Linked DNA regions of Coturnix japonica. The protein of the gene in region 1 interacts with the protein of each later gene in a biochemical or structural test. Links are inferred from orthologs where the notes say so. Each region holds a gene or a part of one and is shown on either strand. Other genes may lie near its edges.

Evidence for each region.
Region 2: the proteins of PLCG1 (region 1) and LCP2 form a complex in vitro, tested with the Homo sapiens proteins (2 studies listed by BioGRID). The link is inferred for Coturnix japonica from reciprocal best matches to the Homo sapiens genes PLCG1 and LCP2.
Region 3: the proteins of PLCG1 (region 1) and ITK form a complex in vitro, tested with the Homo sapiens proteins (2 studies listed by BioGRID, with this or other methods). The link is inferred for Coturnix japonica from reciprocal best matches to the Homo sapiens genes PLCG1 and ITK.
Region 4: the proteins of PLCG1 (region 1) and SOS1 form a complex in vitro, tested with the Homo sapiens proteins (2 studies listed by BioGRID and IntAct, with this or other methods). The link is inferred for Coturnix japonica from reciprocal best matches to the Homo sapiens genes PLCG1 and SOS1.
Region 5: the proteins of PLCG1 (region 1) and ERBB2 form a complex in vitro, tested with the Homo sapiens proteins (2 studies listed by BioGRID and IntAct, with this or other methods). The link is inferred for Coturnix japonica from reciprocal best matches to the Homo sapiens genes PLCG1 and ERBB2.
Region 6: the proteins of PLCG1 (region 1) and KIT form a complex in vitro, tested with the Homo sapiens proteins (3 studies listed by BioGRID and IntAct, with this or other methods). The link is inferred for Coturnix japonica from reciprocal best matches to the Homo sapiens genes PLCG1 and KIT.
Region 7: the proteins of PLCG1 (region 1) and SH3BP2 form a complex in vitro, tested with the Homo sapiens proteins (2 studies listed by BioGRID, with this or other methods). The link is inferred for Coturnix japonica from reciprocal best matches to the Homo sapiens genes PLCG1 and SH3BP2.

The regions. Positions count from the first base shown.
Region 1 is NC_029535.1:4,220,520-4,223,812, forward strand, and holds the end of PLCG1 (1-phosphatidylinositol 4,5-bisphosphate phosphodiesterase gamma-1), read left to right. Parts: intron 1-724; coding exon 725-839; intron 840-1,076; coding exon 1,077-1,238; intron 1,239-1,347; coding exon 1,348-1,436; intron 1,437-1,844; coding exon 1,845-2,032; intron 2,033-2,363; coding exon 2,364-2,406; 3' UTR 2,407-2,793; downstream 2,794-3,293. UniProt on the Homo sapiens protein: Mediates the production of the second messenger molecules diacylglycerol (DAG) and inositol 1,4,5-trisphosphate (IP3). Plays an important role in the regulation of intracellular signaling cascades.
Region 2 is NC_029528.1:13,171,958-13,175,457, forward strand, and holds part of LCP2 (lymphocyte cytosolic protein 2), read right to left. Parts: intron 3,035-3,500; coding exon 2,972-3,034; intron 1,166-2,971; coding exon 1,119-1,165; intron 392-1,118; exon of another isoform or gene 135-391; intron 1-134. UniProt on the Homo sapiens protein: Adapter protein primarily involved in signaling pathways within T-cells, as well as other immune cells such as platelets, mast cells, and natural killer (NK) cells.
Region 3 is NC_029528.1:13,136,375-13,139,874, reverse strand, and holds part of ITK (tyrosine-protein kinase ITK/TSK), read left to right. Parts: intron 1-1,183; coding exon 1,184-1,265; intron 1,266-2,438; coding exon 2,439-2,567; intron 2,568-2,919; coding exon 2,920-2,960; intron 2,961-3,425; coding exon 3,426-3,500. UniProt on the Homo sapiens protein: Tyrosine kinase that plays an essential role in regulation of the adaptive immune response. Regulates the development, function and differentiation of conventional T-cells and nonconventional NKT-cells.
Region 4 is NC_029518.1:14,489,699-14,493,198, forward strand, and holds part of SOS1 (son of sevenless homolog 1), read right to left. Parts: intron 3,180-3,500; coding exon 3,015-3,179; intron 1,071-3,014; coding exon 861-1,070; intron 377-860; coding exon 233-376; intron 1-232.
Region 5 is NC_029542.1:3,928,568-3,932,067, forward strand, and holds the end of ERBB2 (receptor tyrosine-protein kinase erbB-2), read left to right. Parts: intron 1-17; coding exon 18-156; intron 157-225; coding exon 226-348; intron 349-422; coding exon 423-521; intron 522-591; coding exon 592-777; intron 778-845; coding exon 846-1,001; intron 1,002-1,075; coding exon 1,076-1,151; intron 1,152-1,224; coding exon 1,225-1,371; intron 1,372-1,445; coding exon 1,446-1,543; intron 1,544-1,616; coding exon 1,617-1,787; intron 1,788-1,911; coding exon 1,912-2,167; intron 2,168-2,239; coding exon 2,240-2,583; 3' UTR 2,584-3,119; downstream 3,120-3,500. UniProt on the Homo sapiens protein: Protein tyrosine kinase that is part of several cell surface receptor complexes, but that apparently needs a coreceptor for ligand binding. Essential component of a neuregulin-receptor complex, although neuregulins do not interact with it alone.
Region 6 is NC_029519.1:58,899,032-58,902,531, reverse strand, and holds part of KIT (mast/stem cell growth factor receptor Kit), read left to right. Parts: intron 1-3,397; coding exon 3,398-3,500. UniProt on the Homo sapiens protein: Tyrosine-protein kinase that acts as a cell-surface receptor for the cytokine KITLG/SCF and plays an essential role in the regulation of cell survival and proliferation, hematopoiesis, stem cell maintenance, gametogenesis, mast cell development, migration and function, and in melanogenesis.
Region 7 is NC_029519.1:74,770,848-74,775,065, forward strand, and holds the start of SH3BP2 (SH3 domain-binding protein 2), read right to left. Parts: upstream 2,801-4,218; 5' UTR 2,116-2,800; coding exon 2,006-2,115; intron 1-2,005. UniProt on the Homo sapiens protein: Binds differentially to the SH3 domains of certain proteins of signal transduction pathways. Binds to phosphatidylinositols; linking the hemopoietic tyrosine kinase fes to the cytoplasmic membrane in a phosphorylation dependent mechanism.

The DNA.
Region 1 (3,293 bases):
CATTGGCATTATCCATATGATAACTCCCTAGAAATCCCTAACACCATTTCTCTGTGACTTCCATTTACCAAAGCGCTGCCCCTCAAACTCTTCCTGCATCTCGGGGTGAAGCTGCAGCCTCCAGGCATCAAGGGACCCCATGCCACAGCCGTCTCCTTGAAGAGATGAGCTCAAAGCTGCCCGCTGTCCCCAGCCAACACCAGCTTTCATGGATGGAGAAGCTGCCTGGAGCACAGCATGACTCAAAGCATGTGATGCGGTGCTGGCAGAGCCTCCTTCCCCTGCTCCAGTGACATATGGCTCTTGGCAGGAGGAGCGGGGAGCTGTGCTGTGAGGAAGCAGGTTGTCCTCTGTGCTGAGCACCCACTGCTGCAGGCAGAGGGGAGGAACAGCTTCCTCCAGCCAAAGTGATGGGAGCGAGAAGTTCTGATGAAGCCATGGGTGCCCAGTGCCAAGGTCCAGCTTAGGGGAGTGATGCCATGGTCACAGCTGGGCTGTGCAGCTGCAGCAGGACTGCGGGCAGCTGAGCTGCTGGCTTCAGGCTAAACTACAAACTGGTGATATGCAGCAGTTCTACATCTGAGAGCTGCTTCCCTCCAGGTGTCAGCATCTCTCCTACCTCTGCTTAGTGCAGCCCAGGGGGGAGTTACTCAGACAGCAAGTTTGTGTATGCAAACAAGTCTTTTCCTTGGCTCCCACCCTTCACTCAGTCTCTGTTCCCCAGGTCCTGGGGGCCCGGCACCTCCCCAAAAATGGCAGAGGAATCGTGTGTCCTTTTGTGGAGGTGGAGGTGTCTGGGGCAGAGTATGACAACGCGAAGCAGAAAACAGAGATTGTGGGTGAGTGTGGAAGGAGAGGTGGCATGGGTGGGCTGGTTTCCCCCCAGATGCAGCCTTTGTGCTGGCTGCAGTGCTTATCAGGGGCTTGGCAGCAGAGTGGGGAGGGCTGGCCGTGGTGCTCAGACACCCTCACACCAAAGGGAGGAGATGGGGCTGGGGGCTCTGCTTCCACCTTTAAGGGTGGAAGGAGCAAAGCAGTGCTGGGGCTGCCCTCTCACTGCAGTGTTCTGTGCACAGCGGACAACGGCCTGAACCCCCTCTGGAGCCCAAAGCAGTTCCACTTCCAGGTCAGCAACCCTGAGTTCGCCTTCCTCCGCTTCGTGGTGTATGAGGAGGACATGTTCAGTGATGAGAACTTCCTGGCACAGGCGACTTTCCTGGTGAAAGGCTTGAAGACCGGTAAGGGCTCAGAGCTGCTGTGTGTGCCGTGTTGGTGCTCATCCATTTGCTGAGCACGGGGCAGTCAAGGAGCTGTGCTGCAAATAGCGTGGGGCTGTGTGTGCCGCAGGGTTCCGAGCCGTACCCCTGAAGAACAACTACAGTGAGAACCTGGAGCTGGCTTCCCTGCTCGTCAAGATTGACATCTTCCCCAGCAAGGTGAGGCATTGCTGTACCCATCCTCCAGTGCACAGCTGTGCTGTCCTGACTCCTGCTCCCATCCAGTCCCCAGGGCTCAGGGCCATGCAGAAGGAGATTCTTTGATTTCTTCACCTAAAATCATGCACTGGAATGGGTTGCCCTGGGTGGTGTGTCCCTGCAGATAGTTCAGGGGGTGCAGCTGTGGCAATAGATGCGGCTTAGAAGCGGGGAGGTCCAGTTGGTGGTTGGACTTAGTGATCTCAGGGCTGTTTTCCAACCTATGAGTCCATTTTGGTGGGATCCCATGATGGAGCTTCCAGTACCTGGAAGCCTGGGACACTATAGATTAGCTGTATGGCCCAGGGCAGCCCTGTCTATAGCTCTGCACCATCTCAACCCCTTCACTGCTCTTTGCTCTGACCCAAGCAGGAGAATGGTGACATCAGCCTCTTTGGTGGCTCCGTGCTGCGGGAGCGAGGTGGGGACATGGCCAGCCAGCTGCTGGCCAGCAGAGCCAGGGAGGGCTCCTTCGAGGTGCGGTACCAGCAGCCATTTGAAGACTTCCGAGTGTCACAGGAGCAGCTGGCGGAGCACTTTGAGAGCCGGGAGCGAAGGTGGGCACTGGGGAGGGTCCTTGGGGGGCAGGCTGTGAAATGCAGCATCCTGATAGAGCTGAGTCGTAGCCTTGTCTGCTTTCTGGAAGCCCTAAATTAAGCTGGGAAGTGAGGGTAAGGCTTGTTGGGGGTTCACTGATTGGGGTGGGGGGTGATGAGATGCATAGTGTGGGATGCATGGGGGGAGCTGTGAGCTCTTCCATCCCTCCATGCCTCTGTGCTATTCAGGCATGGGCATAGGAGCTGGAAATAGAAATCTCAGAGTGGTGGGATGCAGCACAGGACCTGGAAGCACTGCTCCAACACTGCATCCCCTCTGTTGTCCCCATAGGGTGCTGCGAAGGACCAGAGTCAACGGGGACAACCGGCTGTAGGGCTGGCTGGAAGCACCTCCCGTGCCTGTGGATCTCACGGCACGCTGCGAACTGGTTTCTATTGAAACGGCACTGCTATGGCCTACTTTCAGGCAGCTTTTCCAGTTTCTCCGCTGAAGTGTGTTTGAGCGGAGAACTAAAAAAAAATTGGGAAAAAAATAATAATAAACAACCAAAAGAACCACCCAAACACCCACCCACCCACCTTCACCGACAAACCCTTAATGACGTGCAGGGATGTGCACAGCCCAACAGCTGCTGGGGTGAGAGACAAAACCTCTGCACATACGACCCGCCACCCCTCTGCTGTATTGGTGTGCACTGGGCTGGGGGCTGCAGGCCCCACTTGTAGCTTAAACTCCAATAAACGTGTCAGTATTACATGCACGCTGTCTCATTTTGCTGCCCTTGCCATTCTCCTTGCTGGGATGAGTGAGCAGGAGCAGCCCCATGGTTACAGCTGGGGTGGGGGGTGAGAAGTGGCAGTGGGGTAGGGCTGCAATGTGGGGATGCAGCCCCGCAATCACCAGCTGACTCTCATTTGTATTTTACACTCTTTATTTAGGAACAACCAAAAATGTCTGGTTTCATTTCAACAAACTGTACAAGCAAGCTCTTTCCCTCTCCCACCCTCACGTTCACATATACAAAAGGAAGGGAAACTTGCCGTTCACTTCTCAGAAGTGGCATTGTTGCTACAGGGAGTTCGTGCCCTCGGAATGAGAGCAGTAAAGTCCATAGCAGTGCAAGCTACCCCAGCCCGAGTCACAGCCACAGCCCACAGTCACAGGCAGCTTCACTTTTTGTTTTGTTTTCTTCTTTAAAACCTTTACCAAAAGTAAAAACTATTTCCTGCCTCTCCCGGCTGCCAAGGTGACCAACTCAAA
Region 2 (3,500 bases), on another chromosome or scaffold:
TCTTACTGTTTAAGACTGCAGCTTTTACTCTGCAGAAAGCAGCATGACTTCCAGGCTGTGCCACGTCTGCAGGTTCTGAATGGGTCCCATTCAGAACTCTGTACACGTACCACGTTTGAACTGTCAGATGTAATTATGTGCTTTATTGCAGGGATGCAGTTTTGTTACTGCAGATTTCCACAAGTGCTAAGAGAAGTAAGAGAGAAAATTTGTTTTGTTAATTGTGCTGTTGTTTGTTTGTTTGTTTGTTTTCCTTAAATGACAGTCAGTTCTTTTTCCTACTAAAGCTCTAAATTCTTGTTTTAAACAGTGGCATTCCTGGAGGATTTCCCATCCTACCATCCCTTTTCCACATACAGTCACAACATTCCAGTGAATTGCTTCTCTGTTGGTAAGTGAAGAAGTCTCTGTTTCCCTCAGAGTCTCAATAACCATGGTTATAATAAAATGGTGCTATTAGTTGACTATAACTTCAGAAATGCCAAGACACCTGGGCATCTTTTCCATAACATCTGGGCTCACTTACTAGCACTTCATACACCACTACAGCCTCCTATCAGGAAACTTATTCTGTGAAAATGCAGATATGATCGTAAAAAACACATCGTGTTGGAGACTTTCAAGTTCAAGTATTTGTATATCTGATCTGAACAGAGGTGTCTTCCTGCCCTCAGATCAAGCAACCAGTTTAACTGTGATCACATGGATTTGACAGACCAGACAACTTTTCAAATTTCTGCAGTATTTTTAGCATCACCAAAACATCTCACACATGCTCTGATGCATCAGAAAAACTAAAGAAGACTATGTCTCTTAGCAAGATCAAGATATGCATAGAAGGAGAGAGCCTGGAACTGGGAAGTGAACAAAACAGAAATAGCCATTTTTGTATGACTTGAGCTCCTCTTCCCTTGCTTTGTTTATAAGACCATGAAGAGCTCCAAGTCTCTCATCATTAGAAGCAAAGAAAATCAATTTAACACTGATCCAAACCTTCCAATCTGATTTATCTTTATCACCCACCTTGATGAAAAAGCAAACAAAGAAAAATACTTTAACTCCTCAACTCACAATGAGTTAAAATAACTTTTAATGTAAAGTGATGTGGCTTTACTTACGGCACTCGGAGTTTGGGAAATTTCTGGATATCATTTTCAGACATGTTCTGCAAAAGAAGCATACAGTATAGATCACAAACACGTGCTTTTTGTTAATATATATATATATTTCTAAAAACTTAGGGGTAGAGTAGAATGTTCCCTGTGCTACTGAAGTGAAGCAATTTGATTGCAGGTTCCTAATAGCCTGAGTTGAGATGTGCTAAGCACTGGCAGCTTTACTGATGCTCCTGCAAAGAGTGTTGGCCTCTCTATCCTTCCACCCTGTTGCGCCACTCCAGATATAGGATGGATAAACACAGTGGGCTAACTTTTGAGGAATTGTTTTGTTTAGTCAATCAAAAGCTTTGCTTTGGAACTTGGATGATAGGCATGTTCTGTCTGTCTTTCTTACTGCCAGCAGTAATTAGTTTCTATTCACATATTGGTTTAAAATGGCATCAATGTTTTTAAAGGCACAACAAATCTTAGCTGTGTTTTCCAGCACTGTTGTGCTTCTGAGTACATTTGTAGGAGTAAACTAAAGCAAAAATATATTTCCTTTATGGAAACGTCCTGCAGGATTTACTGAAGCATCTTGTTTTTTTCTAAAGACCTTTTAAGCTTCTCACTGGAACTCTATTGTGGCAATAAACCTGACAAATGTTACGGGGTAAAACTCTCATAAATGGCAATTTTGCCCTTTTAAATCTTGGGGAATTTTATTGAAGTAAGTTATGTGGAATCCCTCTGGTTTTATTTCTACTGCATCTCAACTGGAACATTTCTGTAGTAGCCAGTAGATACAGAAACATGACTTTGAATCTAGCAGGTTATTCTAGTGGATAAGATAGCCTTATTTCTGCAGTCAGTTTTACCAAGTAGCTCTGACAGTAGACCCAAAACCTGCATACAACTCATGCTAATAGTTTCTTGTGTTGAAATATAATTTGGCAGTTTCCAATAATTCAGACATGAAAAGATGTTTCTTAGAAACGCCATCCATAGAGAGAAAAAAAAACCCCAACACGATTGCATTGCAGGCTAGAATATTCCACTTGTTTTTAACAAATGAATATTTTTTATGCTATAAATATAACAAGTAGGTCAGAAGCGTAACAACATTCATCTTAGAAGAGCTGAGGAGATGCTTGTTTCTGAAAACATACTGCACTCTACGTCATTTATTTGCAGAAGTGCTTTGGAAATAATACATAACATTATTATTATTATTATTATTATTATTATTATTATTATTATTATTATTATTATTATTATTATTATTATTATCAACTTTTGTCAAATTAGGTCAAGTTCTTGATACAGCTTGGGCTAATGCTGATTTAGACCCAATGACACGTTCCATATTAGTTTCTGTGTTATTATTGATCACTGAATATATGTTTTGCTACAGAAGAAACCTGATTTTGACTATAGAGGCACAAAATAGTGACTGCTGCAGAAAGCTGGCCGTTCTAATCATGTCCATGCCTTTTTTAGTAGAAGACTACTAGCAGGAGATTATGGAGCTCGGGAACATGATTTAGCAGTGGGTTGTTAGGGTAAGGGTAGTATGGTTAGATCGAGGTTGTACTTGATGATCTTTCTAACATGAGCAGTTTTAAGACAGTTAATAAATATTAGGTTTCTGTAGTTAGTATTTGAAAACAAGTATTTCCTATAAAGGAAGGGATGAATTCAAGACAAAATGAAACAACATGCTTGAGTTCCCAGAATTCTGGACTTACAGCAAAATGTCTGGCTGATCTTTACTTCTCATACTTAAGTAACAATCTATGAACTGACTATCAGTTCAAAGGAAAGAAGAATCAAAACAGCCATTGGATTCAGGGAATTTTACAAACTCTACTTACCAAAAACCTCTGTCCATTTATACTGTGCTTTCTCACAACTTTCTCACAGTCCTTATACCTTAACTGTCAATAAGAAGAATATTATTATTATTACATTGTAATTATAAGAAACAAAAATACTTAAAAATACTTAAAATGCTTACAGCTAACTATGAGTAGGTGCTTCATGTTATGCTGTTGCGTGCTAACACCTATTACCTGATCCATCTTAGGAATCCCAGTAGTTCACAAAATCCTCACTGTGATAACGTTATAAAACAAAGCTGCAGCTCATGACCTCACTTAGATTTTATTACTTTTTGTTTTTAAACACCCTGGACTACCTGAATTGCTCTTTTTTTTTTTTTTTTCCTGTAAATGTGTGTTGTGTTTTTTTAAACAACGATCCTTCAGTGGACCTGAATACTCCCATTCCTTGGGAATGGGAACACTAAATTCCCCACATTCTAAACCACCTTCCAGTTTCCTGTTCCAATAAAAAGATCTGGAAAGTGGATGAGGAGGTTGTAGTACTGAATACAATGAACAG
Region 3 (3,500 bases), on another chromosome or scaffold:
CTTTCTTCCCTTCCCACATTACAATGCAGCTTTCCTGGTTAAGCATGGATGGGAGAAGGAACAAATGTTGACAAACAATGACACAAGAATGTCTTAAAATGAGTGGGAATTATTGCCCCCCTTTTTTTTTTTTTTTTTCTTAAACAGAGGTTATGATTTATCTCTCTATAGCCTACAAAGCAACTGAATCACATAGCTGTCTGTGTGTGCCTGCAGGGGCATCAGGCCAAGAGATAGCAAATGCTTCCTATCATTTGAACGGTTATTAACGTTGCCTCATCTACACTGCTTTAAGCTCTGAAAAAAACAGATGCTGTCTTTAAACAGAAAACTCTGTTTAAAGATATTGGTTGAAGCTTTTTCAAAGTGATTGTGCATCAAAGAGATCGGGTCTCATTTGGGTATAAATTCTTGGATAAATATTGGAAAAGAAACATAGATTATGTGTTACATCACATTTTAGGCCCAAACGTAGTCATCTGATTAAGTTTCTGAGTCATTTTTGTTCCTGTGATGATTTCACTCCTGAGTCTGAAACTTCACGAATGTTCTGTATTTCTCTTCTGTCATTTGTTCATCACTAAGGGCACGTTTATGAAACCAGCATCCTGAATGCTCATTGCTCATCTGCTCTAGTTTCTTATTTCCCCACCATAACCCTAGTGAAAGCTATCAAAAACTCTAGAGTGATAGTAGTACAGTGAATCCCGGGGGCATTGCTTGGAATTCATATTGACCAGAAAAGATAAATTTGGCTCTTATATTTTAAGTGAAGGTGATTTAAGAGAAAGAGCTGAGAAACTTAAGTAATTTTCTCGTAGGTGCTTCAGAAGAACAGGCTATAGCCAGCATGCAGTGGGCTGGCTTCTGTGCAGACTGAAGTTGTAATGTTTCCATTGGTTTAACTGTCATTTCAACAAAAAATTGATTTAAAATAAAATTGCTCATCTAAAATTCTTTCTTGATTGAGTTTTGTACTCAGTTTTAGATAAGTAAAAGGCACTGAGGTTATGGGATACCTCTGAACAGGCGCTATATACTCCACTTGTACACAGCATTGTTTTTCAGGGATTTACGTACTTGATATGGGGGTTACTGCCTGTTTCTTTCCATGGTTCCACCATGCCCAGTACACCCAGGATTGTTTCTAATGGCTGGTTCCCATCTTTATTCCCATCTACAGATTGTCCATGATAACTACATCCTCTACGTGTTCGCACCCAATCGTGAGAGCCGGCAGAGATGGGTCTTTACACTGAAGGAAGGTAACAGAACCCCTAAGCCTACTTAATTGTTGAAGTTTCTTATCCCAGGTCATTTTTCTCCACAGCTAAAATGCCAAGAAAACATACAAGAGAAGTTGTTTTCTTACATCTAACCAAGCAAAGTGGTCACTGAGAACGCAGCTATGGAGTCAAATACATTTGCAGATGTTGTGGGTGTGTTTTCAAAAGCTTTAGAAAACTTCGGCATATAACACTTAATATTTTCTGGGTAGAAGATTTCTCATCACTGATTAATAGCTACTTTGTTTAGATGACAACCTTCTGAGAGAATCATGATTATTAAGAAACATTTCTGTGGGTAGCTTTCATTTCCTGTTCGCTTCTTGAATTGTTCTGTGGTTCATTACAATGATTCTGAAGTGAAGGTACAATAACTAACCGCTGGGTGCAGAAGGAAAAGGTTGTTTAGTTACATGAAAATTGCACCCTTATTCCCTCATAGCTTTCTCCTCCTTTGTAGCGTGAGCTGATGTTTAGTTCACTTTGAAAACATTGAGCCTGTTTGTGTTATTATTAAGCTTAGTCTTACAGTCAGTTATTCCCCTTTGAGGGTGTACCTGTTCCAAGTTTTTGTTTTATCGCCTCCTCTAGTTCAGCATGTTGAGACAATCTGAGTGATCAACAACAATTTTATTTGACTTGACCAAGTAGAAACAGGCCAGGATCATTTTTTTCTCCTTTTTTTCTTTATTCTTTTCAAGAGAATTATTATGGCAAATAGTTTCAAACAGAAGGACCTTTGATTGCTCATACAGAGATTCACAGCTGGCATCTACATGTGCAAAAATATTTAGAGCTGGTGAATCCCAACTGGTCCATCTCCCTCTGAACACTGAGCCAAAGCAGCAGAGTCTGTGTCCTACGTTTATACATCCTGCAGAGATGCAGTTTGCTATGAGAATCATCAGTACCTGGTGTACCAGGTTTTCTTTCTGTTTTTGAATTGTTCTTTCTGTGGTTTTGGTGTTTAACAGTTTGAAGAGAGAAATAGAGGAGGCTAATAATATTCACGAAGAATAATGGTTCGAAAAAGAAAATAAGGTCCTTACGTGCAGATTATTTCTGTTCAGTTCTATGTGCCTTTCAGAGATTATGTCAGTACAAACAAATCCACTTTTTCCTCCTTTTTTCTCTTACTCTAACTCTTTCCAGAAACCAGGAGCAACAACAGTTTGGTCTCAAAGTACCATCCAGATTTCTGGATAGATGGCAAGTGGAGATGCTGTGCTCAGACAGAGAAGATGGCAGTTGGCTGTTTAGAGTATGACCCCACCAAAACCGGTATGAGTTTTCGTTAAGAGAATCTTGACCCTGAAAGTATTTATTCCTAGAAAAAAGTAAAAGATTCAATCTATTTTGTCCTTCCCATATTTCCTCTGTAGTATAAACATCAAAGTAATGCTGGCAGATAGGGAAGTCAATCATTTTACACTGAAGACTTTTCCCCCCCTTGTATTTCTGCGATTCCCTATACAATCTGCACATCAGTTTCAAACCCGTGTTATGTTGCTGAGAGTCCCCGTGCAGGTGCAGCTGTTGGTGCATCTTACTCTAAACAACCAAGGCTTGCTGTTCTATTTCTGTAGGGTTTGTCTATATCTGATTCAAATTAGCTTTCTTGATTTCATTTCAGCCTCAAAGAAGCCTCTTCCTCCCACTCCTGAAGATAACTGGGTGAGTGCATCAAGGCATACAATGCTGTCCTTAGTAAAGCAGCTTTCCAAACCCACTTGTGGGTGGAAAAAGTCACAGTAAGAAGTGAGGAGCTGTGAGGTTGTTATGTCCATCTAAGAAGAGCAAGGAGATTTTATCACTGGCATCTTTTAATGGTAGTTTAGGAAACAACTGTGAAAATCAGATCAGAAAGGATTGATTCTGCCCGATGCCTTAAAGAAGAACTAGACAACTGTTTTCTGTGCATGTGGAATTATGTATGAAAACCATTGCTTGATAATGCTTAAAATGCCACGTTGCCAGTGTAACTTCACAAGCTCCTGGGGTGCTCTCCTCGCCTTGAGGTACTGAGCCCAGCAGGCTGTACAGAGCACACCAGTGTTGTCAGGGGAATATCATTTCAGAGAGCATGCCATTGATATTTATAAACATGAATATGATGAGCCTTTTTCCTAATTGGTATAGAAATCGTTGCTAAACACAAAGGAAACCTTAGTCATGGCCATATATGACTATGAAGCCCAGAATCCGCAGGAGCTG
Region 4 (3,500 bases), on another chromosome or scaffold:
GTTTGTTCCCCCTGCCTCTACTGAAGATTAAACAGCCTACAAAGATTGAAGACTAAGACTATAAAGGTGAATGCTCTAGAAAAATAGTTTACTCTCGACTGGGGGAGGGTTAGAAAAAGAAATCAAAAATCTAAATAAAGGCACCTTGGCAGACATGCGCTTAGCACCTGCGTGCAAATCCTTAAAGTCCACGTGATTAACAACAGCAACAGAAAAATCAGTATTTTCTTACCTCAGCCATATCTTCAAAACAGCTGCCTACTAACGGATGAGGACTACCTTCATCTGTCATTTCAACAGTGTCTTCTATATGACCCAATAACTTTACACTAAGTTCATGAATGTCTGATATACGACTAAAGATATTTTCAACATCCTGCAAAGAAACAGAAACAGGCAAAAATCAATGAGGAACTGGACATAATTTGAGATACAATGTTATGTACAAAACAACTCTGTTACAATATGAGAATTAAACATTTCCTTAACCAGAACAAGAATTTATAAACAATATTGTGTATATAACTTTTGAAATATAAAATCATAGCATTTATTTTTAAAACAATGACTTTGTATATGTACATATAAAAATAAAAGCATTTACAATGAATTTAATGTGGCAGAGAGCATTGACCAACCTTTAACTCGTCCTTCCTGCAAGTGAACACATAAAATTGAATGGTTTCTTCTACAGAAAGATGTTTCCTCACAAACATTTACAATTCACATTTCAGAACTCAAGGGAAGTGTTTCTCTGCTATGGATGTGTTAAACTGGACAATAGTTAAGTTGTATAAATCTAGATGAGCATTTACAGATTATGTTATATACACATATACTTATTTAAACACAACACTTACATGAGATGAAAATAGTTTGGAGTTGGAGGCATATGGCTCTCTAAAGACTCTGATAATGAGATTAAGTTCCCTTATATATTGCCGGACTTCTGCCATAAATGACTTCACTAGGTCGTAATAGGTTTGCTCCCCTGAAGTGGAGGGCTCCTCGTCAGATAAAGTTAGTGCACTTAAATCTTCTACATCTTGATGGAACATATCCATTAACACCTAGCCAGCAAAGAGGGAGAAAGCCATAAAGTGACAGAACTTCAAGATCTACCAGTAAGTTTTCAGAAAATAAAATTATTTCCATTAAATCAAACTAACCAGCAGCAGTGTTTGTACTTATCGTTCTGCAATTGGTTGAGCATTATGAAAGCAACACGCACTGTTATGAATCTGCAAGTCAATATTTGCAGTGCAAATTTCTGAAGAACCCCATCACTCAGGCCAGTCTTGGCACGTTTCAGAACGTGGTCCTAAAAATCAATCACTGCTCTAAGAGTTCTATGAAGCACGGAGGTGTCAGCATTTAGTAATGTTCTGTAACACTGAATAAGCCTACACAACCTAAGATTCTAAAGATGCAATATTATGGAGAAGCACGTGCGTTTCGGCTCTTCACCTTTGGCTTTAACAGAAAGCCATTTGTGACTTGAACTCAGAACCCCGTTACCTGTGATGAATACCAGCTCCTCAGTTCTTCTGAACTGGAATCACTTAGAGAATTCAGAAGCACGAGCAGACAGTCAAATAAAAATAGCTTGCATTCTAATGCAGGTGATGGTTTTTTGTGTGCGGTTTTGTTTGCTCTGTGGTTTTTTTGTTGTTGTTTCTTTCTTTTTTTAAACAAAGTAGAATTTTTCAGATAGCCAGGTGGCACCAACAGAAGTGTGAAAGCATTTGGAAAGGAGACAGAAGATGACAAACTTTTGGTTGTTTTGTTAAAAAAAGAAAAGCAGAATGCGCACACTGACAGCAGGAACCTAAAGGTCCTTGATGCGGCTGGAAAAGAAAACAGCGTGGAAATACCTGCCAATGGCTTATTCCACTGAGCCAGTAAATCAACATGCCCACTTCAGAGCTCCCAAAAGCTTCTTCTACACTTACTCCAGTGTACTAGTGCCTAATGCACTTTCCCAATTAGCCTCTTTAACCCATCAGCCATCCCTGCCCAGGATACAGAGACACATGCAGCAACAGCACTGTTCCTATTCTATATTCAAGCACACAGCTCCAAACACCGCTGTAACAGCCCAGGAGGGTGCATCCAAAAGACCAAACGACCAAGACAACTGTCCTGACTAATAATTCACTCACACAACCTCACTAATAATTCAGCCTCACACAACACCTTTCTTTCCTCTTGAGATGAAGATGGAAGCAAGATGGAAAAAAAACTCAAGCGTGAACAAGACAAAAGCATTCCTTGAAGAAGAGGCAAGTCCAACCAAAGATACTGAAAGCATCCACTGGACTGCAGCAATATGAGCATCTCTCGAGACCCATCTGTTAAAGGACTAACTTCAGGCTTTGGTTTTTTAAACGGAAAACTCAAGATGCTGATGAGGTGGCCATAGAAACCAGAGTGCGAAGGCACCTGAAACGCAACAGCCTGTTCTCCAGCACTGCTGGATCACTGGGTAAAGAGGTAACTACTGTCTGAATCTAATGACTCTTCTGAAACCAGAGGAAAGAAGACCTGGCAATAAAAGTATGGATGCCTACAGAGAAACAGAGATGCCTACGTTTGTCTGTTTTTAACTTGAGCACAGAAACACTGCAATACGGTCTTATTTTGGGAAAGTACCCATGCTTCAATTCAGCCTTCTTTTTTCTAAGATACAAAGAAGAAAAGCAGGAGCTACTATTAATGCCAATGAATGTGAAATGTTGAAGTCTTTGCTGCTTCACAACTTTTAAAGCATTCACACATTGCTGGGATTAGGCAAGCAATATCAAAAGAAAGAGACACTTAACTGTAAATAAGCACGAGTAACAGCTCTGCAACTCAATTAGCTTTCAGATAGTTTTGTTGCATTACTGGAACAATATTTTACTGCAGCAATTTCTTCATACAACACTGCTTACTCAATAAGGAATAGATAGACAAGTCCTCTTAAAATTCAACTTCAATGCTCTTTTAACATGAAAAACAAGAGTTAAGCTTACCTTATCAGCACACATTGCCACTTTAATATCTTGTTTTGTAATTTCATAATGCCTTATATTTCGTACATAATTCCCAACCAATTTCAGTATGTCTGCAGAAATGTATTCTAATACTGCCACTATGTAAACAGACACTTGGTGGTCGATTTTGTAACCTAGAACCTCCTGAAAGGAAAAAAAAAACCAACACGAAACATCCTATGTTATTCAGGTGTCAAAATATACGATTTGTAACTGTAACCTATGGTGCAAGTTTAAGACTCTACTTGACATTGGCAACATACAGTCTATTTTAGCAACAGTAATGCAACAGTCTGTGGGTCAAGTAAATAAACAGCAACACTGTAGATGCTGCTCTATCAGCTACATTAGTGACCACAGTGAACTGTCCCAGAAGCCTTGCTTGAAAGGTTTCTTGCTTGCACTCTCTAGTGGATAAAGAAAGCCATGTGCTCATTTGCTACAAATTTGGTTATTATTTCGCAT
Region 5 (3,500 bases), on another chromosome or scaffold:
CACCTCCCGTCCTGCAGCCAGGTGACATCCATCATTGCTGGTGTGGTGGGGGCTCTGCTGGTCGTCGTCCTTCTGCTCATCACCGTCGTCTGCGTCAAGCGCCGGCGGCAGCAGGAGAGGAAACACACCATGAGGCGGCTGCTGCAGGAGACTGAGGTGGGGGGGCTGGATGACCCTGGGGGGGGCTCAGAGTGTTGTCCCTCCTCACCCACTTGTCCCTCGCAGCTGGTGGAGCCGCTGACGCCCAGCGGGGCCCTCCCCAACCAAGCACAGATGCGCATCCTCAAGGAGACGGAGCTGAAGAAAGTGAAGGTTTTGGGCTCCGGCGCTTTCGGCACTGTCTATAAGGTGAGGGGTGGGAGGCACAGTCAGTGGGATGGCACCATCTGTGTCCTCACTCACCGCCCCCCCACCCCCCATAGGGCATCTGGATCCCCGATGGGGAGAGCGTGAAGATCCCGGTGGCCATCAAGGTGTTGCGGGAGAACACATCACCCAAAGCCAACAAGGAGATCCTGGATGTGAGTGCAGGGGAGGTGGGCACGGGGCTGGGGAGTCGGTGCCAACCTGACCTATCTGTGCTGCCTGCAGGAAGCCTATGTGATGGCCGGGGTGGGCAGCCCCTACGTGTCGAGGCTGCTGGGCATCTGCCTGACCTCCACGGTGCAGCTGGTGACGCAGCTGATGCCCTACGGCTGCTTGTTGGACTATGTGAGGGAGAACAAAGACCGCATCGGATCCCAGGACCTGCTCAACTGGTGTGTGCAGATCGCCAAGGTAAGAGAGGGGGCTGCTGAGGGGCTGTGGGGGGGATGTAGATGTGGGGCTTAACGCCTGCTGCCCAGGGGATGAGCTACCTGGAGGAGGTGAGGCTGGTGCACCGTGACCTGGCTGCTCGCAACGTCCTGGTCAAGAGCCCCAACCATGTCAAAATCACCGACTTCGGGCTGGCACGGCTGCTGGATATCGATGAGACCGAGTACCACGCAGATGGGGGCAAGGTGGGACATGGGGACGGGGCAACAGGGAGCGCGGTGTCCCCTGAGGGTCCCGCTCACTCCTCCCACCCACCCAGGTCCCCATCAAGTGGATGGCGTTGGAGTCCATCCTGCGCCGGCGCTTCACCCACCAGAGCGATGTCTGGAGCTACGGTGCGTCCCTATGGTGGCTGTGGGGGGCAGGGGGTCCCAAACCAGCACTTACCCCACATCCCCATGTCCTCAGGTGTCACCGTGTGGGAGCTGATGACCTTCGGGGCGAAACCTTACGATGGGATCCCGGCACGAGAGATCCCCGACCTGCTGGAGAAAGGCGAGCGGCTGCCGCAGCCGCCCATCTGTACCATCGATGTCTATATGATCATGGTGAAATGTGAGTGGGGGGGACATGGGGACGTGGGGGCCAGGACCCCAACGCCGCCCTCACGGTGCTCGGCTCTGCCCCAGGCTGGATGATCGACTCCGAGTGCCGGCCCAAGTTCCGTGAGCTGGTCACCGAGTTCTCCCGCATGGCCCGCGACCCCCAGCGCTTTGTGGTCATCCAGGTAATGGGGTCTCAGGGGGGTCTCGCCTTCAGCATTGCCCCAACGGGCACTGACAGCCCCCCCTGACCCCCAGAACGACATGATCGGGCTGCCCAGCAACATGGACAGCACCTTCTACCGGGCGCTGCTGGAGGAGGAGGACATGGACGACCTGGTGGATGCTGAGGAATACCTGGTCCCTCACCAGGGCTTCTTCAGTGCTGAGACCTCCACCGCGTACCGCAGCCGTATCTCCTCCACGCGGGTAAGGGCTGACCTGGGGCATCGTGCTGCTGCAGGGCGCACAGGGTGCAAGTTCTCTAATGCCACCCACAGACCCTATAGACCCCACAGCACCGTGCCCGACTCCGTGCCCTTTGCCTCCTCAGAGCACAGCAGAGACCCCAGCTGACACGACAGAGGGGGAGGAATCAGCCGCCTTCCCCTTCCCACCGCAGAACCTGGTGGAGGGGTCAGAGTGCCCCGTGTCGGAGGCTCTGGAGGTGGATGTTGGGGCCAAGGGAGCCCTGCCGAGCCCCCCAGCCACACGGTACAGTGAGGACCCCACCGCGCTGCCGGGGGATGAGAGTGAAGGTCTGGACCCTGAGGGCTTCACCACCCCAGCCCCACATACCACTATGCCAGGTAGGGCAATATAGGACCCTGGGGAGGGGGGCAAGGACCCTGTTTGGCTGCTGACATCCCTTTTCCCTGCAGAGTACGTGAATCAGGCTGGGGAGCTGCCGTCACCCCCCCGGCTCCCCTGTGCACCACCATCCCCACCAGACAAGCCCAAGGGCCACCAAGGCAAGAACGGGCTCATCAAGGACACCAAGCATCCCTTCCTGGGGCCCTTTGGCCACGCCGTGGAGAACCCCGAGTACCTGGCCCCCCCGGGGCTGCCGGTCCCCACAGCCTTCAGCCAGGCCTTCGACAACCCCTACTACTGGAACCAGGACCCCCCCAAAGCTGGGAGCCCTGAGGGTGGGCCCAGCTCCACGCCAGCAGCTGAGAACCCGGAGTACCTGGGTTTGGCTGAGCCTGAGGACGTGGCTGTGTAGGGCAGGGCCACATACGGACCCCCCCCTTTCACCGAGGCAGCTTGGGGAGGGACGGCACGAGGCCGGCGATGGATGTGGGGGCAGGACTGTCCCCAATCATGGGGGTGCCCTATACTGCAGGAGAGCATAGAGCACTGTGAGACGGCGCAGCAGCACAGGGGGGGGCACAGAGGACCCCCAAAAGGAGCCCCAAAGCCCCACTGAGATGGATGCTCCAACCCCACACGGTTCCTGGAGGAAGAAGAGCAGCATCAACAGGACCGGGAGCCCCATCACCCTGCTCCCCATCACCATACACCTATATACACCTGTATACACCCTGGATACACCTGGACCACGCTGCTGCTGTCCCAGAGCCCCCCACCACCCCTGTGCCCCCAGCCCCCTCCCCACCGGCGCCCAGCAGCGCTGGACACATTGACTTGCACTGAGCAGGTGGACACGGGGCTGCCTGGGCTCCTGCTGGGTTCCCGTTAAGCTGACAGTGTCACCTGGATGTATATTTCATCATTGTAGATGGTTTTTTTTCTACTCCACTTTGTCTGCGTGGTTTGCTCCCATCTCCTCCATCTGCTGCTCTCACTGCAGGGAAAGCCCTGATAGCCAAGAATGGGGCAGCTGCCCTAATCCTGCTTTCATTGCCTGGATCCCCCCCATGCTCTGCAGGGACACAGGGGAAGAGGAGCCACGTTTACCTCCATCCTTTATTCAGCGCTGGGCCCACAGACAGTACATCATAAATAGGGGATGGGCACCAATAGGGGATGGGCACCATTCTGCCACGCTGCCCTGGGCTCAGCTGCCCCAAGGGCAGAGTCATGATGTGGGGAGGGGGAGAGCCGGGAGCCTGGGAACGGGGCAGCAGGGGAAGCTCGTGGCTGTTCAATGAACCCTGGGGCTGTGGGGATGGAGCCAAG
Region 6 (3,500 bases), on another chromosome or scaffold:
GTATAGTAACAGTATATGCTGCAAACACGCTATTGCAATGCTTTAGCAGTAATAGTCCTTTCTCTGGGCATGGGCTCATATAGAGGAGCACCGAGATTTCTGCATGTGCACAAAACCCTAGATACTCATTTCTGAATTCTTCCCACTTGACAATGAATGTCATCATCTGAAGTATCAGTAACGTATTTGCAGTGCTGTAGTTTGGGTCTAGAAATATCATTTGGACTCCTTTTAGAACATGGCATTTCTTCTGTTCTCCATGCATGCAGTCATTTGTGTTGTGAATTCACTTCCCTAGCTGGGATTTTTGAGGTGAGAGCAATGGCAACCTTAGCTATCCTTTGCCATCTTGAATGAGTGCGGATCACAATCAGAAGGGGGAATTTTCTCAGTGTAGAACTCCATGTTGCTCCTTTTGACTACTACTTGACAAAGGCTGAAATTCATGCAGTCATGGTTAGGAAACCACTCTAGGACCAGCATGGTGAAGCATTATGGCCATGGTAAGAGAGAGTGTGTATGATGTAGTTTTGAAAGGCTTGCCTGTGCAACCAGCAGCATTCAGGTATCATTCATTCTTGTTTCAACATGGAGTTATCAACTTGGAAGTCTTGGAAGCAGTAAGGTCAGTCCTGTGATGAAATGAAGAGATTGAAGCCACCTCAGCAGAACCTTGGTTACCACGTAGTGTGACCCTGGGTGGGCTACCAACATTGCTGAAATGGATGGATTTGATCTACTTGGCTCAGAAAGAGTTTCTTTTGGTATTTTGATTCAACTACTGCAAATATTTTTTTTTCCTTTCAAAAAGGGAAGTCGGAGCAGGTTGATCCCTCAAAGAGATAAAAATAATGTCCTCTTTTCAGTGGTGTGTAATATGCTCATCATTTAGGTATGAAACACAAACTGCACAACAACATAACATACTATTTCAAATAGCAGAGTAACTGCAAAAGGTCAGTCAGGTGTGGGTGGGACAGACGCTGATCTAATCATGTGTCCTGACTTGGCCTTGTTGTCACTGGGAACTTTGCATAAATAGCTGGGATCTAGCTTCTGCTGTTTACAAGTCTGGCTCAGGCATGTAATCAGCAGAAAGCAATCAAACAGGTAAAACAGGATTCATAATCAGGGGGATATCTTCATGTAAACACAAATCGATGCTGAAGCATTTGCTGAAGGATGTGAGAGACTCTGTGCAGAAAGACTTCAGATTCGAACACATTTAGCAATTGCATATGCTAATCTAAAACAATACTAAATTGCTAAAGTAAAATGTAGTCAGTCATAGAGAGTGTTACACAAAGTGGGGAAGGAAAGAGCTCTGAAATTAGGAGCCAAAGGGAAAATTACAACTTGACAAGCAGTGAGCTGAACTGAGTTACAATTAAGAAATTGTACAAATCTCCAGAGTGGCAAGTTACCATGCATCTAACAATTAGTGGAGGAATCTTCCAGCTATTATCTGAGTTTAATGCAAAATAATATCTGGCTAAATGTATAGTCAACAAAATTCTGTCTGTGCAGGTGGGGCTTATGCTGCAAAGAGAAACCTGGTTGTGGTGTTAGAGGTTACATGAAGCTCTGTGTTCTTCCTGTCATTGCTGTATGCACTGGACAAATGAGCAGTCACTGTGGTGCTATGGAAAGATTCAGTCCAGTCCAGAAAATGGGGCTGTGGAAGGAAATGTATTTCTGTGCTGGTAGAAAATAATACCTATTAAATGTTAGTTTTTAAACATCTGCCTTCCTGTGCTAATCATGAAGAAATCGGTAATAAAAAGCAGCTGAACCCACAATGTTGTTATACAGAGCACTGAGCTGAAAGAGAATTGACCTCTCTCAAATCTTTGCTGTGTTCAGAATCAGCGTTGATAAGAGCTGAAAATCAGTTCAGATATGGTGAAATGAGAAGTTCAGGGCATCATTAAGAGAAGACTGGAGGTGCTGGGACGTAGCACAGAGTTGTGTGGTGTTGTGACACTACCTGACACACATCGTATACCTAAACACACAGTTACAATTTCACAATTCAATCTTGTTGATAGGAGCTTAGGAAAGCTGAATTTCTTACAATCCATGAATGCTAAGACTGTGCGAGATACTGCCTGCTATCAAAAAAGTTCTACTCCAAATGAGTAATGCTGAAAACCCGTCTCAACATTTTGCAACAGTGTTTGGTTCTGGGTGGTTTGCATAAGACACAGCATGTGGATTTGGAAATGAAAGAACATTCAGTTCTTGTAACATGACTCATGAGGAGATGCTACGTTATTGAGAGTGTACGTGTGTTTTATTGCCTCCAATTTAATCAGCAAGTAGAATATTCATTAAAAACGGTGTGCAGTCTTGGCACGTGGATTTTATCTGAAATAAGTTGCATTCTTCCACAGTTGTCAATGCAGTCTCACAACTTCCTACAGTGTTAGAAGCTCATCTTAGATCTTTGTAAAGTTATATTAATGGTTAATGGACTATTAATTTGTGCCAAGTGAGCGACATCTGTGGCATATAGTCTGGCTTTGCCATTAATGCCTTTTTTAATTTTTTATTTTTAATTTGCAAGGAAGCTAATATAGCTGTGGCTTCTAATTCTAGTTCTCCAATAAATAAATCTTTCTAATATCTTCCAGAGCCATGTAGGTGTTGTCCTTGCCTGAAGGCCTGTGACATTGGGCTACGCCTGCAAAGTCCACCTAATTGCTTTCCCATCATACTTACCACAGCAGCTCCGAACTGCATGCAGCACCAGCCTCAGTACAGAGACAAGGAATGCAGCGTCATAGCATGGGGCACCAGCTGGCTGCCTTGCTTTGTAAACTACCAGAGCAATCAGAAATTACAGCTTGGGCAGCTAATACAGACAGCCAAATATTAGCTTCCTCCACATGTGGCATTTCAGATGGTGAGCCTGTTAGGCCAGTGTTTTACTGGGACGCGTGCCCTCTGTGGGACAGGGATACGCATTGGTTGTATTGTACTGCAGTTTGTTTCCTGACTGTGGTGGTAATGTTTAATGGAGGGCAGATGCAGGAGAGGTGCAGTTTGACACACAGCTGTGGAGAAACTGACCTTGTTAGAAGCTGGTGAAATTCCTCTGCGAGAACTGGAACTGCCTTCTTATTTAAAACACATACTTTGTTCTGTACAGCTTGTGGCTCTGCTGGTTTAGGATCTTTCATCAGATCAAAAGTATGGAGGAGGTAAGGAAATCCAATGGAAGCATTCAGTGTAAGAACAGAGATTTTCACAGCTTGTCAGTGTTGCGGGACCATGGGAAGTTCAGTTCCCCTGACTCTATGGGTAATAACACACTCCAGTTACTGGAGTGATGAGCATGCGGCAATGCGAATTGTGTGCTCCTTTAACATGATACTCTCATTTGTGTGTGTTGCAGCAAAACCAGAGATCCTTACCTTGGATATACTCAGTAATGGCATTCTTCAGTGTGTGGCAGCTGGATTCCCAGCCCCTACCATTTACTGGTATTTTTGCCCAGG
Region 7 (4,218 bases), on another chromosome or scaffold:
CTATTATGTGAGGAACAGATCAATGCTCCATTACCAGGTATGGTCAACAGCAAGCACCAAAGTCACTGTAGAGCCTATTAGCTCCGTGATCATTAAGAATGAAAAGATATTTCCCAGATGCCTTTTTTTATACTGTTATATTCTTGCCCTACAAGCCAAAGACCCCCTTACATATTTTCATCTCAAGGTACATAACCAAAGCCTCTTCCACTGAGCAGACAAGGAAGATAACAGGAGAGACCCACTAAGAGCCATCAGAGCCAGGCTACCCTCCCTCTCTGATGGCAGCCCTCTGTTACAAGATACCAGGTAACAATACCTGTGCTAATTCTTTTGTGCAATCTTCTAGTAAAAACCACATACTTTATTCCTCCCGTTCTTGTCATCAAGGGACTAGGTACATGTTTATAAATTTTCTCCATCAAGTTCCACACCCAGCACAAGTGCCTCGTAAATCAGCCTTCTCTTCCCTGAAACACTATTGAAATGAACCATCTGAGCCAGCAGAGGATGACAGCAGCAAAAGGCCTTGCACCACTTCCTTTCTCAGATGACCCCCACGGCAACTCTACGCCTCTGTGGGAGACAAGACTTTAAAGCATAGTGGGAGACACTGAAACAGCAGCTAATAGGACTTGCTTCATCACTCAACAGAGCTGAGACAGAGCAGTGCAGCTAACACTATTGAGCACGATACAATCAATACTGTAATTAATTCATACATGCAAACCGGTCTTCCAGACTTTGGCAGACCAAGCCAGTCCACAATGTACCCTGGAAGTATCAGTAAAGTCAGTCCAAGCCTATCCCATGAATACACCTTTCTCAAATACTATCAGAATGAACTCCTTCAGCCACATAACACATCTGGAACAGATTATGAAGGAGTGCTTATCCCTTTTGGCCTTACGAGCTATTGGCATTCAGCCCGATTAAATTGATACAGGCTGATTCAACTAAGGACTGCATCCTAGAAGAGCCAGGAGTCCTTGTTCCTTGCTGAACCTCAGCAGAACATACAGCAGACGTGATCATCCCCACGCCTTGTAGTGTATAAGCCTAAAGACACATTAACCTCATTGCTGAAGCTACAGCTGCCAAAAGTTGTCTTAAAAGTTCTCACTTGTTATAATAATATTTATGGACAGTACTGGAGGCCCTTTGGTCATGCTGAAAACTAAACAAGTATCCTGAACTGCAGTAAAAGTTAAATCTGTTCTGGGTTTGTCACAAGAGTCTCAATGCAAATCATGTCTGAGAAACATTTTAATGCCGTAACATCTCATAATATCCGATCTTTAAATACTGTTTTGAAAGTAAAACCCAGCACAGCAGGATGTGGATTTCCTTCTCACTATGCGTGTAACTTACAGCAATGAATGCATTCCTGGTATAACGCAGGTGACTGAAGTTTAAGCATTCACAAAAGGCTGAACCCAGAACTAAGGCAGCACATACAGAAAAACATAACAAAAGTTTTCCTCCTGTGCCCTCTGCAATGCTGAGCACAAACGAGTTCTCCAGTTCAACCACCTACATACCAACCATCTGTACAACTGCTTTCTGCAAAAAATCCAGGTCTCGTTTCCATTATTTAATAAATATTCCCAGTATTTCTGAAATACTCTGCCACATTTCTCCCCCTTTTCTGAGTTACACATCGCATTTCTTAACACTCCCAACAGCCCCTTTCACAATAGTTGCTCAAAAGAATGAAGCGTAGCACGAACACTGAGGAGAAATAAATCCAAAGGACAAAGGGAATAGAGAACTAAGCCTGACTGAGGTGCACGTTATAAATATGCTCATTCCATTCAAATTGCTTTTCTTATCAGGTGAGCGTTTCCAACCAACTCTCTCTTTGTTTTTCCCCCTCCAATCCTTGGCCATTTTCTGCATAAGATGCAGCAGTTAAAAGCATTTTTCCTTGAGTCAGTTTTCTTCTCTTAGTTTTAATCTGCTCTCTACCTAAAAGAGGACAGATGACAGAAATACACGCACTCACCTTGACACCGTGCCCAGTCGACACATAGCTTTCCTGCTGACGCTTTCACTGTATGATAGTTTCCTTTGTGAGGACAAAGCCATTAGCAGCTGATAGCCCCTCTCAGGCATGACAGGAACATCGCTGTGCTCCCCTCCTTTTTGTGTATGGAAAGGCTGAGAGCGGCAGCGATAACTACTGTACACACAAAGGAGGAGCTGCGCCCCGACTGCTTGTACATCTGCACTGCAGCGTGGCCAAAAGGGACGCCTAGGCAATGACTTGTTTCCTTTGTTACTTCCTGTTTCCCCCCAGAGTCAGTGGGCAGCTCTGTCTTTGTCAGATTTCCCAATATCCCACAGAGGCTGTAAATCAAACTGTGCGTTACCTCAAGCCTCTGAGACTGCGAGACACACTGTGGGGGATTTTCTAGCGCTCTCTTGCCTCTTCTTCACCTTCCCACCAACTGCTTTCCCATGGGAGAAAAAGAAGGTAGCCCTTCTCCCTTACAGTGTGCTCAGGCTCTGGAGCAGTTCTGGAGAAGGGCAAAGAATGTATGTGAGATCTGGAGCACGAGTCTTATGGAGAATGGCTGAGAGGACAGGGATTGTTCAGTCTGGAGAAGAAGAGGCTCAGGGGAGACCTTATTGCTCTCAATAGCACCCTGAAGGGAGGCTGTGGTGAGGTGAGAGTTGGCTCCTCTCCTGCGTAGTTAGTGATAGGACCAGAGGGAATGGCCTCATGTCGTGATAGGGGAGATTCAAGTTGGACATTAGTAAAAGTTTCTTCTCAGAAAGAGTGGTCAGGTGCTGGAACAGGCTGCCCAGAAACGTGACTGAGTGTATAGAGGTGTTCAAGACACGTTTAGGTATCGTACTGAGGGACATGGTTTAGTGAGGAAATATTGGTGGCAGGTGGACGGTTGGAATGGATGTTGTTGGAGGTCTTTTCCAACCTTGGTGATTGTGTGATTCCATGAAATTAATTCGTCCCATGCACCATTAAATTGAAATAGACAGTTGATATTAAGAATTAACAGTGTTTTAAAGCAGTCCTTCCTCTCCCTGTTCTCTGCTATGTTATAATTGCTCTCTGCTATCTGGCATACTCTCCTAAACTTGCATTACTATCCTTCAGCCTGTATCTCCACCTCATTTAAAAAAAAGCTATGATCAAAAGAGACAGCACTTAAGTAGATGTAACACTGCAGAACATCCATTCCAAACATCAGCCTGACACACTTCAGCCTTGGTTTTACCCTTCCAAAGTTTGCAGCCATAACACAATGCTCTCTGGGCTCTGCAGTCTCATTTTAAATTAATATTTCATACATTCAGTATGCTCCCAACGTACTACTTTTTCCATTCTAATCTTTCTGATGCTGCCCTCTTCATATACGCACTCACAGTTTTTCATTTCTACTTCCAAGATCCCCTTTCGATTTTTCTGGTGATTTCTAACACTGTCCAAATGGTCTTAGAGAACGAATACCATCAGAACAGAGGCCACTTCACATGTGCTCAGGCACAAGCTGGTGTTGTAGTGAGGAATAAGCACACACCAAAACCACCAAAGAGCGCTTGCATGTTTCACAGATGATCATTCATGTAGTAGAATGAAAATTCTGCCTAGCTTTCTAGACCAAACATTAATCAGAAGGTTTGCATTTCAAAACGACAAATACAGAGCCTGAATAGACGCAAAACTGTAATGGGTTTGATTAACACGTTTGTCACAGAAGAGTCCTCCTCCACAGTGCAAAATTCAGTTTTGCAAGGAATGCTGGCATATGGTTTTCAGACTACTGACCTTTATTTGTCCCCACAACATCAGTGAGGCCTTGCACCAACCCAGCTCAGGGAGAATTTCAACGAAAAGCGGTTGCTTCATCTCTCTGACATTATCAGATCTCATGTAAGAAGAACCATAGCATCAAAAGCAACTTTACATTTGATTTTCACTCCATTAGGACCACTGCTTGTGAATGACAGTCAGTCATCCCCGCCAATGTTAATAACAGCTCTTGCTTGCAGTCAAAAGTAACCACGTCTACGCCAAGTTTACCGAAAGCAAGAGAATAAAAAGTGTCTCTCATGCTACAGTAACCTCACTGGTATTAATGCACTGGTTCAGTTGAGGTGTTGAACTATCTTCAGCGAGAGAGCTTCCTCTTACTGACCAATTTACAGGAAACTGCAAGAATGGACCACAGATAGAAGCAGACTGAGCAAGAG